Linked DNA regions of Daphnia pulex. The main gene of each other region encodes a partner of the protein of the gene in region 3 in a complex. Links are inferred from orthologs where the notes say so. Each region holds a gene or a part of one and is shown on either strand. Other genes may lie near its edges. The genes, in order: gem-associated protein 2-like, gem-associated protein 5-like and serine-threonine kinase receptor-associated protein-like.

Evidence for each region.
Region 1: serine-threonine kinase receptor-associated protein-like (region 3) and gem-associated protein 2-like share a complex: the UniProt entries of both Homo sapiens proteins name them as parts of the SMN-Sm complex. The link is inferred for Daphnia pulex from reciprocal best matches to the Homo sapiens genes STRAP and GEMIN2.
Region 2: serine-threonine kinase receptor-associated protein-like (region 3) and gem-associated protein 5-like share a complex: the UniProt entries of both Homo sapiens proteins name them as parts of the SMN-Sm complex. The link is inferred for Daphnia pulex from reciprocal best matches to the Homo sapiens genes STRAP and GEMIN5.

The regions. Positions count from the first base shown.
Region 1 is NC_060025.1:2,087,175-2,090,249, forward strand, and holds gem-associated protein 2-like, read left to right. Parts: upstream 1-1,262; 5' UTR 1,263-1,338; coding exon 1,339-1,442; intron 1,443-1,513; coding exon 1,514-1,598; intron 1,599-1,656; coding exon 1,657-1,812; intron 1,813-1,882; coding exon 1,883-1,993; intron 1,994-2,048; coding exon 2,049-2,327; 3' UTR 2,328-2,466; downstream 2,467-3,075. Other genes in the region: endoplasmic reticulum protein SC65-like, read right to left, coding at 1-318, 383-435, 500-860. UniProt on the Homo sapiens protein: The SMN complex catalyzes the assembly of small nuclear ribonucleoproteins (snRNPs), the building blocks of the spliceosome, and thereby plays an important role in the splicing of cellular pre-mRNAs.
Region 2 is NC_060024.1:12,897,151-12,901,466, reverse strand, and holds the start of gem-associated protein 5-like, read right to left. Parts: upstream 2,890-4,316; 5' UTR 2,763-2,889; coding exon 2,558-2,762; intron 2,494-2,557; coding exon 2,369-2,493; intron 2,312-2,368; coding exon 2,074-2,311; intron 2,006-2,073; coding exon 1,965-2,005; intron 1,896-1,964; coding exon 1,611-1,895; intron 1,552-1,610; coding exon 1,197-1,551; intron 1,135-1,196; coding exon 598-1,134; intron 524-597; coding exon 372-523; intron 316-371; coding exon 1-315. Other genes in the region: CD63 antigen-like, read left to right, coding at 3,215-3,280, 3,360-3,539, 3,621-3,791, 3,847-3,972, 4,038-4,187. UniProt on the Homo sapiens protein: The SMN complex catalyzes the assembly of small nuclear ribonucleoproteins (snRNPs), the building blocks of the spliceosome, and thereby plays an important role in the splicing of cellular pre-mRNAs.
Region 3 is NC_060026.1:10,623,403-10,626,934, reverse strand, and holds serine-threonine kinase receptor-associated protein-like, read right to left. Parts: upstream 2,237-3,532; 5' UTR 2,043-2,236; coding exon 1,919-2,042; intron 1,860-1,918; coding exon 1,569-1,859; intron 1,506-1,568; coding exon 1,381-1,505; intron 1,319-1,380; coding exon 1,206-1,318; intron 1,142-1,205; coding exon 993-1,141; intron 938-992; coding exon 744-937; 3' UTR 592-743; downstream 1-591. Other genes in the region: uncharacterized protein LOC124205018, read left to right, coding at 1-269, 329-462; intraflagellar transport protein 43 homolog, read left to right, coding at 3,426-3,437, 3,500-3,532. UniProt on the Homo sapiens protein: The SMN complex catalyzes the assembly of small nuclear ribonucleoproteins (snRNPs), the building blocks of the spliceosome, and thereby plays an important role in the splicing of cellular pre-mRNAs.

The DNA.
Region 1 (3,075 bases), on a different chromosome or scaffold from region 3:
GCTGGAAATGAAATCAGGAAACCAGCCTTGATCAAAGGGACCCTCACAATGAGCTCTGCATTCTTCTTCTGCTTGCAAGTATTCTACCAAGGAAAGCTCCATGTTGGTTGTAGTTCTGTCATAGTCCTTCTTTTTGTAGGATTCACTGCCACGAATGTAGAATTCAACATAGGGTTTAGCTTCAAGGTTGATGACATAGTTGGGATCCACTTTCAATTCATTGATGAAAAATCTAAGATTTTCTTTCATCACAGTATGGTTTAAATTCATAGTTAAGAAAGTGTAGGCACAGGAAGCTGCCTTGATATTATCGTTGGTCTGAAATAATCCAAACACAAAAGTTTAAGTAAATAATAAAGAAAATGTGATGTAGGATACTAACCTTGAAGTAGCAAAGCTGAAGATAGTCATAAGGTTTCAAAGTGTCAAAATCATCTGTTTAAAATGTAAAAATTTTTAAAAACAGAAAACATATTTGATGAAGATAAGACTGTCTAACCTGCAACTTTACGGTCAACAATTTCTGCACGGTTCTTCAAAATATCTTTCTTGCATTTCAGTAAGCAAAGTGTCTTCTTTATCATCTTTTCCCATAATTTCATATCTTCCAACTGTGGAGACACCAACGGTTTGTCAAAAGATTCCTTGAGACATTCCAATCGACAGCCCACCACAGCATCTTTGTAAAAATGATAATCTTCAATGGCTTCGTTCATACGCGTGACGCACTCATCCCATTGCTCATTTAGATATGCTTCTACTGCCTGGCTGTAAAGAATATCGTACGAATTGGCAGGATCAGCTTTTGTAGCAGAGCAAAAGTAAACCAAGAGGGACAAAAAACAAGCTTTAAACAACATATTCTTACAATATATAATAAGGCTTGACAAAATAAAATAACATGGGCAGACTATGGAGCTATGGAGCAAGGGGAGGTTATCTTTGTGACTGCTCCACGTTAACAGTCAAGATGCCCTATGCAAAGAAGAGGGGTACATATATGCGTGAGAAAACATCTGTTAAAAACCTTAAACAAATTCTCGTGTTTCAATGTTTTGACTTAAAAGCAACATTGCCAATTATGAATAACGCAATCATGAAATTAATTAATCTTGAATTCTTTCAAATTTGAATTATATTTTTCAATTGCTGGTGGTTTTTTAACCGTGAATCGTGAGATGACAGGTAAGTGCAATAATTTAAATTTTTAAGTAAATAGAGCTGACAAATTAAAGTGATGTAGATGTCGCTTGCGTCTGAGCAAATAGTGGCGCAGAACCGCAGACGACAACTTAAACTTCAAAACAAACAACTGAAATCATTTGTGAAATTCCAGGCATGGATGAGTTCCTCCATAAAGCGCTTTACGTCGAGGAAACAGACGAGGATATCGATTTTGAGTCTGCGCCCAGTACAGGCCAAGAATACTTGAGAAGAGTTATGTAAGTCATGAAAACTTGTGTGTTAATAAATTGTATCACTATAAATTCATGCTGCCGGTTTATTTGGATAGAGTCGAATCGCGAAAATGCGAAGCGGTTGTAGTTGCCGATATGAAAGGAAAGAAGCTCAAAGCCCAAACTGTCAAATACACTACGGTAAGTTTCATTTTATTCAAATTTATTGATCTAGTCTGTCATTTCTGTGTAAATTCAGGACTCTGGCTGCCCACCTGCACCAGAAGTTTTCCTACCTTCAAAAGAATGGCAACAATTCCAAGTCTCTCAGTTTTCCTGCCTCAGGAGCCGCATGGCAAAACACTTGGCCAGGCTGAAAAAACAAGGAATTCAAATGAAACCGAATACAACCCTGGTAAGATCTTTGCTGTTGCAATGGCTTCCAGATAAATGAGTTTGGTCTTAATTATCCCTTCCAATTGTAGCCTGCTGGAGACAAAGAAAAGGAATGGTCAGTGTTGTGCTATGGTAACCCTGAGGATGAAAAGCCTTGTGGAACACCACCTATGCTCCCCATCATTTTATCCCTCAACCAGGTATATGAAAGTCACCTACTTCTCAGCATTCACACTATTATTTCTGTTGATGCAGTTTATGGTGGAGACTCTACTAGAGTACAACGTACAATGGCTGGAGGAGACGAATTTTACTCAGCAAAGGGGTCAGTGGCTCTACGCTCTACTTGCCAAATTGGAGAAACCTTTGAAACCCGAAATGTGTAGCCTCATCAGAACACTGGCACGTTTGTGTAGCACATTCCGAGTTCAATTAACCTCGGTCGACGACCCGCTGTTGGCCCAGCTCAATCTTTTCATATGTCTAGTCGGTCGTTACTTTGATCAAAGTGATTTAGCCGATCCGATGAAATGATTTAAACGCGAACAACGAACATTTCTGGTAACACATTTCCCGCATTGTATTTTTATTTTATTTTTCTTTTGCTCGCCATTTTGTAAGAAATAAAAAATGACTGATGGTAAATATAGTAAAGATCGTGGGTGAATAAGAACATGCATGTGGCTGATGGTATTACATTTAACACTTTTTTTGTTTTTTATTCGGGAGGGATAGGAAGAGGAGCTGAGTTGCATTCGTTTTTTTTTTCTCCCCCATTTTTCAGTGATGGCAAAAGTGGTGGGTGAAAATAAGAAGATTATAGCAGTTACATGTATAATAGCTGGAGGAAGAAAGAATTGAAGGGAAGGTCGGACAGAGATTTTAGAATTAGAATTTGCGTGTGTTTCTTCACAATTCCATTGATTCAACAGTATATAGAGATACGTTAGAAAAATTTGAACTTTCCCATCGATTGAACGAACCAACACAGGAAGGAAACGAAAAAGTGTAAGGAGAGGCGATGCCAATATATTTCTTATATATATTGTTTCTTTTTTATTCATTTTTTTGTTTTTTGTTTTGTTTTATTTACTGCATCCAATCTCCTCCGTTGTGTTCTCCTTCAGCAGATGAAACTGTCGCAAAAATTCAATATTATATCATGAAACATTTTTTCTTCTTTTTTAAATATTGAAAGTGTGAATGTGACATCTGGGATCGACGGCGGAGGAGAAACTCGACAAAGTAAAAACGGATCCGACAAAAAGGAAAAAAACAAAAA
Region 2 (4,316 bases), on a different chromosome or scaffold from region 3:
AACCGGGAACAATGATTTCAGCTTACTCGGTGGCTTCTTTTTAGTTGTGCCACTTGAAGTTGCATGGCGACCAACAAAAGAAGAAGATTGAGGGGGTTTGTATGGTATTTTCTTTCGTTCCTTCAACGTTTTGACTGCAATAGATTCGGCAGGTGTCTTGTAGACTTGTTCTTTAACTTTCCACATTCGAATAGTCATGTCGTCTCCTCCTGTAACGGCCGTATCCTGTTCTAATGCGTTCCATTCGCAACAAAGCAATCTTCCGGTATGGCCACCAAAATTAGCCACTTGCTCTTTGTTGATCACGTCCCAAACCTGCAAATGCAAGTAAAAATAAAAGGGTATAATTAAAAAGTCTAAGAATGATTTACCTGTGCGGTTCCATCATAACTGGCAGAAAGAAGCTTTCCATCTTCATGTGGGCTCCAAGCCACCGACACCACACGTTCTTTATGACCGCTTAGAGTAGCCGCAAGTGTGGATGTTGCGGGTTCGTCGTTGTTGGCAACGACGACGCTAAAAACTGGAACAAAAGTAAAAAGGCGTCAGTCAGTCAATAAAACAAAAGGGGTCAAGATAGTTAAAATTTACACGTACCTTTGATGTTCACATCGTTTGAAGCCACTGCCAACCAGTTTTCAAATTTGGAAGGTTCCACACTTTGGAAAGTGAATGGCGGATGCCATTTAAGGCATTGAATAAGTTTTTTATGCGCAACGATAATCGTTAGCAAAGATAAATCGCCGCCTGAATAGATTTCCACAGAACCGTCTTCGTTGCCTACGGCTAGAAGAGAAAAGTCCACTTTCCATTGAAATTCCGTACGCGAAGGGAACTTTTGATTTTTTTCTCCTTTGCTTGCGATCAAATTATTGAAATTTTTTGCTTCCGTATCTAATGCTGATGGATCGTGAACCATAATGTTGTTCCCACCACAAGAGTAGAGGAATATCCCTTCCTTAGACGGCAGGGTAGCCCAGGATAAATTGTATACGGTACCCTTGTGGTAAGTGCGACTCAATTGAGGTGGTTTAGTTAGCGACAGTGTGTCAAATATTCCTACGCGTCCTTCATCGGTTCCAAATGCCAACCGGCCCTCTATTGTCGGATGCCACGCTAATCCACTCACTTTGCCTGTTATGATTGAATTGCAATTTTACTCTCTATACTGCATAAGTAGATTATATATTCATCACCTTTGATTCCATTCCACAGCATCATCATGTCAGGTTTCGCAGCTGCCATATTCCATAGTCTGATGGAGCAGTCTCCCAATCCCACAGCCATTTGGGATGAATCGATGGGATTGATATTCATGACGTAGATGAAACCACCCATGGTTGGCATACAAAGATGCGGATTCTCCATTTCTTGAATGCCTAACACTTCTTTTGGTACGTGGCCTTCCACTATGGGCCAAAGAATAACATTACGATCCTGCGCCGAAGTCCAAATCATTTCCTGGTTTTCTCCAGTCATGTATGAAGAAATATTGAAGAGTCCACGGCTGTGAAGCTTGTGAACGATCTTCCAAGACAATTTGGGCCCAACCTACAGCAAAACAAATTGATTAAATTCATGCAAATAAAAATTTAACTTAAAATTCTGACCTCCCACAAGATAAGTTCACCACTGAGTCCACTGCTCAAAATATGTTTTTCGTTTAGCCAATGTAAGGCTACCCAGGTCGCACGTTTATCATCCTGAGTAGACCGAGGGCGATGGACTCCAGTATTGCCAGGAAGTTTTGATTGGCTGACACATTTTCCTTCGTTAGTGGCCCAGATTTTAATAGTTTTATCTCGGCCCGAAGTCGCCAAGAATGTTTCCTTCTTTTCTTTTTCACAAATAAATACATTTCCTTTCAAAGGGCACCAAACGATGTTGTGTAGATCCTAAAAGAATTTGTTGTGAATTAATGACGACACTTCATGGGAAAACGCAAAACTGGTTAAACTTATTACATCTTCGTGAGCTCGCAGTTTATGAATTATACCACGGTTTTCTAAATGAAATCAATGATATGTGTGATGAAAAATCATGATAATGTTAGAGCAAGTACTGAATCATTACCTCTAACATCACATATGTACAGCAATCCACCTTTACAGCCAATGGCCAGCTGCCATGGAATGTGGGGATTGAATGACAGCATAAGAGGGTTTATTTTCCCATAATTGAGCTTCCGAGTGCTGCAACTCTCATAGCTCAATAGTAGCTCTGTTATTATGATGGTCCCATCTTCACTTGATGATGCCAAGATTTTCTTATCCAGTAGAGAAGACCAACTTAGACAAGAAATTTTTTGCTCCTAGAAAAAGATGTCAAATTAGATTTGTAGCTTGACAATATGTTTTACAAATATTACCTGATGTGCATTTTGTTCAAATACAAGACTCAAATCATTATATTTCCATATACAAATAGAACCATCTTCTCCAGCACTACTCAGCAACAAATTATTCTCTTCTGAGGGCTGATACCAAGACACACCTTCATATGAAAACAAAACCGATTAATTGAAAAGTGAACCTAAGGAAGTTTATGCTAAACTAACAAGTAATTTTATTCCTGTGGGCGTCCGGGATGACATTAGTTGTAGGATAACTGAAATTATCTCCTACATTACAAGATTTCACAAAGACGAGGCATCGCGAAGCAGCATAAACTAATACTCCAGACTTTTTGTGACATTCAAAAGCACCACTCAGATACCAATTTGGAGATGGAGGAATCACAATCTCTTTTTTATTTTCTGTCATCCTACAAGTTTAACTTGTACAATTTCTTTAAGTTGAAAACTAAATCTTACATATACGCACCATGTGCGAACAATTTCAAAACAACGTGCACAGACGACAAAGGTGGTGCTAAACAGTAAACCTTACTAAAAGCAGATATTACATAATTTATTTTTGAGATGGGATAAGTTAAGAAGTTGTAATAATTCTTTAAATAACGCTCAGAAAAAATTCGTTATTATGAATCATGAGCGATCCTTCGTGTTGCATAAAATAAAACAATTCTTGGCCGCTTCCAAGGGTAGCTCGAATTGTTCCTCATCAAATCAGAAATCAACGAACCTTGTTCGAAATGTGCGCGTCAAAAGGAATTCGTCACTTATTTCGAAGAATAGCTTACGCTCATAAACGTCGATAGATGTGTGAATGTAGGCTGATATTGTTTGTCATGTTCCAGAGTTTCAGTGAGCAATATGGAGACCGGAAGATGCAGTTTCGCTTGTGCATTTCTACATTTGTTCATAAATGTTCTATTACTGGTACGCTTAATTCTTTATTATTTACGAAAACTCATTGCAATCAATGAGTGACACAAGTAATTATTACGAAACATGGTAGGTTCTCGGAATGTGTTTACTTGGATTTGGACTAGCTGAAGAATCTACTCGGCTAACATCCATACTCTCGGCTGAATTGAAAATCGGAAGTCTTGCTGTTGTCATAGGAGTCATACTGATCGTTATGACGACGCTTAACTGTTGTTTCACTATTGACGGCAGTTCTGTTTTTTACTACATAGTGAGTAAAATAAAAATAATTTTCTTTCTCCCTATCTGTATCCGTAGTGAATCGTATTAAAGAGACGTTGACACTTGACAGTATGCAGGTTTCCTCGTACTGTTGTTCATTGCCATGGTTGGACTTTTGGTGGCGTTCGGTCCTGATTTCGGTACTAAAGTCAAGCAAGACATTAGAGAGTCTATGCGCGAAATGATGTATTTCGATCCCGACGGAAGTGGGAAAACTGGAATGGATATCACCCAACAAATGGTAAATTAGTTTACTTGGAAATTAGTCGGCTGACGTGATAAAGCGCTTGGTTTAGTTCCAGTGTTGTGGCGTTGATAGCTACAAGGACTGGAACAGCGTAGCAGGATATTCATTCATTCCTGATTCCTGTTGCGTTAAATCAGGATGCGACACTTCCTATCTGAAGAATATATACCAAGAAGTAATTAAATATTATTATTAATCAGTTACATTAAATTTAGTTTAAACTTAATTCTCACTTTACAGGATTGTGTCTCGAGCATGATGAAGTCGGTCGATGCCCTCTTCGCCAAAATAACCGCAATTGGGATTGCCATTACGATATTCCTACCTTTTCAAATCATTCTTGTCATTTTTCTAGTCCGCTGCGTTCCGAGTGATCCTGTCTATCAATAGTTAATTTGTTTGTTGCTACAAAAAGGAAAAATTTGATTGTGAAAAGAATAGACGCCCGTATCAGGTCATCTCAATTTATTGTTACGAATTAATCACACTGTGGAAAGGCCCGCAAAAGTACAATCGAGG
Region 3 (3,532 bases):
ACAAAAACTGCAATTAAAAAAGAAGCCTGAGACGAACTCGAAAAGAGATGTGACAAATCTTAAGCAATGTAGAGATGAATCATGTGATTCATCGAAACCCACAGGAATAATTCATTCTACGATAGTCGACAACGGCCTTCCTAAAAACGACGAACTCGGAGGTTTTGAAGCGGTACCTTCCAAGAACACCCAAATTACACAAGATCCTGTTCACATCTTCAAGCCACCTAGTCCGCCATTGAGGGTTGCAGTGAAATGGAAACCACCAGGTAAATCAATCACAAGCCAATTAATTACTTTTCAAGTGTTGAACTTTTTTATTTCAAAGGTAAAGCCGGCGGTGGTGCAAATATTTTTTCAAATGGAAATTCAAATTCTCCTTCAACAGGAATTCGATTAGGTTTATCACGTAATCGTCGAGCAAGCAAGCCATTACACCCAGATGTCAAAGTGAAGATCTAACTAACAAGCGTTCGAAATAATTCTTATAAGAGTTTTTGTTTCTGGATTTACGCCTACTGTATACCTAATTCGTGCTTCACATTGAACCGTGTTGTCTTTGCCTTTTCGAAATTTGTATTTAAGTTTAAGGAATGGATGGATTCCTTGTATTTCCTGATGGCTCAAAAATGATATCGTCTTTACAAGTCGAGTGACCACTGTTATCGTGGTGTGAATAAGATCACTGAGGTTATAACTGGGAACAAAAAGGAATATAACTTGGTCATTTCCTCTGCTCCACTTCATGCCACAGTTTCGGTTTTAGCAGGTGAAGACAGAATTTCGGATGAAGTAGGAGTATCGCTGCTACACTTCCACAAACCATAGGATTTACCAACGGTAGTTTGCCATAAACGAAGGGTTCCATCCTCTGATCCTGACGCGTATAATTCACCATCGGGAGAAAAACGGACGCAATGAACTGGGCCAAAGTGACCTAAAAAAAAAGATATTGTTAATAAACACAACTACTGTCTATAGACAAGATTTACCTTTAAACGATTCTATTTCCTGTCCATTGGAATAATCCATTTTATACATTTTAAAGTCTTCGCCACCGCATACAAAGACTGAGCGTGAAGGATGTAATGAGGCCGAATGGACTTGGCTAGGCACTTGATATTCTTTTATTTTTTCAAAGCTGATGATTGCAACAAGAAGTTATTAAGCAAAGTATGTAAAATGAAAACCTATTTGTCGTTTACCTGGTTGTATTCCAGAAGCTGACTGTGTTCCCGCTAGCGACCGTTAATATGGAATCATCGTTAGAAACTTCAATGCCATTAGGGATCGAGGTAAAATCTATACGGTGAATTTCCTGTAAACGGAATATTAACAATTTTAATTTGAGAAGACGTAAAAAGATTAAATAGTCTGTACCTTTCCCGTTGAACGTTCCCAAAATCTAACGGTTCTATCGTCAGCACAACTAACTATCTTCTCTCCCTTACCAAGAAATGCAATATGTCTCAATCCAGAGGTATGGCCAGATATGATGAATGGATCTAAAAAAAAGAGAAGCTTCATGTTTTGTGTTTCTTAAATAATTTTTGAAGTACTTTATTTACCAGCAGTTGGATTATTCAAGTCATAAATGCGAAGAAGCTTTTCATTGCTTCCAGTAGCAAGCAAGCTCCCGTCTGGGGAAAAGGCCACACATTTGACTATATGCTGATGTTGGAAGGAATATATTTCTTCCCCTGTTACAGCGTCCCAGACTTTAGCAATGAAATCAGCAGCACCTGATGCAGCTTTGCTGGCATCTTGGCTTAAAGCAACTCCCCATACAGCTCCCTTGTGGCCCTCAAATGTGCCCAACCAGTCACCAGTATCTCCTTGCCTCATCATGGGTTTTCCATCTACATTTTTCTATAACGGTTAATGGATAAACTAAGAAATGAAATATATTAACAAATACCTTTGCATGCTGATATAAGAAAGTAACCTTTCTCCGTGAAACCGCTGAAAGCCAAGTCAACGACAGGCCTAGTGTGTCCACTGCAAGTTAAGGGTGTTTGTCGTAATGTAGTAGGAACTGCCATTATCCCAAAGTTATTTGGTTATTTAATACGGTCAGAGTCGAGATGGGAATTACTTGATCGGGCAGTCAAACTACAAAAGAAGCCACAAATTGGGGAATTGATGGTAAATTAAAGCCCCTTGGCTAACTTAGCAGGTTGTCGGTTGTCGGTGTTGCCGACTGCAGAACACTAGGATCATAGGGAAAATTATCCCGGCATTTGACGCCATCTGTGGCCAATACCGATAGCAATGCAGGACTTATGCAATTGTGCAAGAGTGACGTCAACTCACTTTTTAAGTAGAATGCCCCCAATTGATTATTCACACTCAGCACGCAAAATCAATCCTTTCTGAGCCGATTTTAATGCGTGGTTAAAAAGGTAAACGACGTACAGTGTGATCTGGGCCGATCACATAGATTTTTCATTGGGAAAAATCACAATAATCTAATGTGATTTAATTACTGTACCGTTCATGGGTATTGTACGGCTGCATTTTAGCCTTTAAAAAGTTCATTTTGTTGACGTAGAAAGAATTATAGATTTATAGTTAAAACGTACGTCATGTGGCGTTATTGAGCGGATGGTAAACTTTTACTATTAAAAAAAGAACTACAAGAACTGTCTGAGTATTATGTAGACATAATTAAGCTAAAGGTTGCTATACACAAAAGGTGCGCACAAAAACAAGAGCTTCCGGTTTCCCTAACTGTACTTATACAGGCTAGGCTACTAGGGATCGGATGAAACACTGTGCGGAAAATCATAGCGGACAAATCTTAACTGTTAAAATATACTGTAAGGTGTAAACGGCTAAAACGCAATTGCATTTTTTAATTCTGAATGTATCATTTAGTACTTTCTTGCTTTCTCAGCTAAATTTTTTCATTTTTAGAAAAACGCTAAACAAATATTGAATGTGTAAAATGTACAAGCAGCCCAAATATTTGTTATGCCAAAAATCGCAAACAATGTTTCAAGGGAACATCAAGAAAATTTTTCATTATTAGAACTAAAGTAATTGGTAGCCTAGTAAAGTGGGCGTTAAATGACAAAATGAGTAAACGGTGTTAATGAAAATATAGTGATATTTCGATTTTATCTATGTAGCACTGAAACGACAGTTAATGAGTTAAGCAAATAAATCGTAGCTAAAACTATAAATTATTGTAATTTGTCAAATATAATAAGCCTTATTTAAACCCAGTTTACCTTGCTCAGGTAAGAGACTAAGAGGTAACCATTCTGCGAAAAGTAAAATTTAGTTGTCCTGAAGCACCACCAGGAACACCATGGCATAAGTAACCATGGAAACCAATACTCGACTTGTTAGAGTTGTAGGCTATTTATTAAAGGTGCTGACTTGGCTCTGGCTGTCAATTTTAGCTACAAAGTGTTTCTCAAATGCACGAAGATGTAATGTAAAATTTCAATACGTACCTAATTTGTGTTAACCTTAACATTTGTAATCTTGACAGAAAAAATCGACGTCTCCTATTAAGAGCAATGGA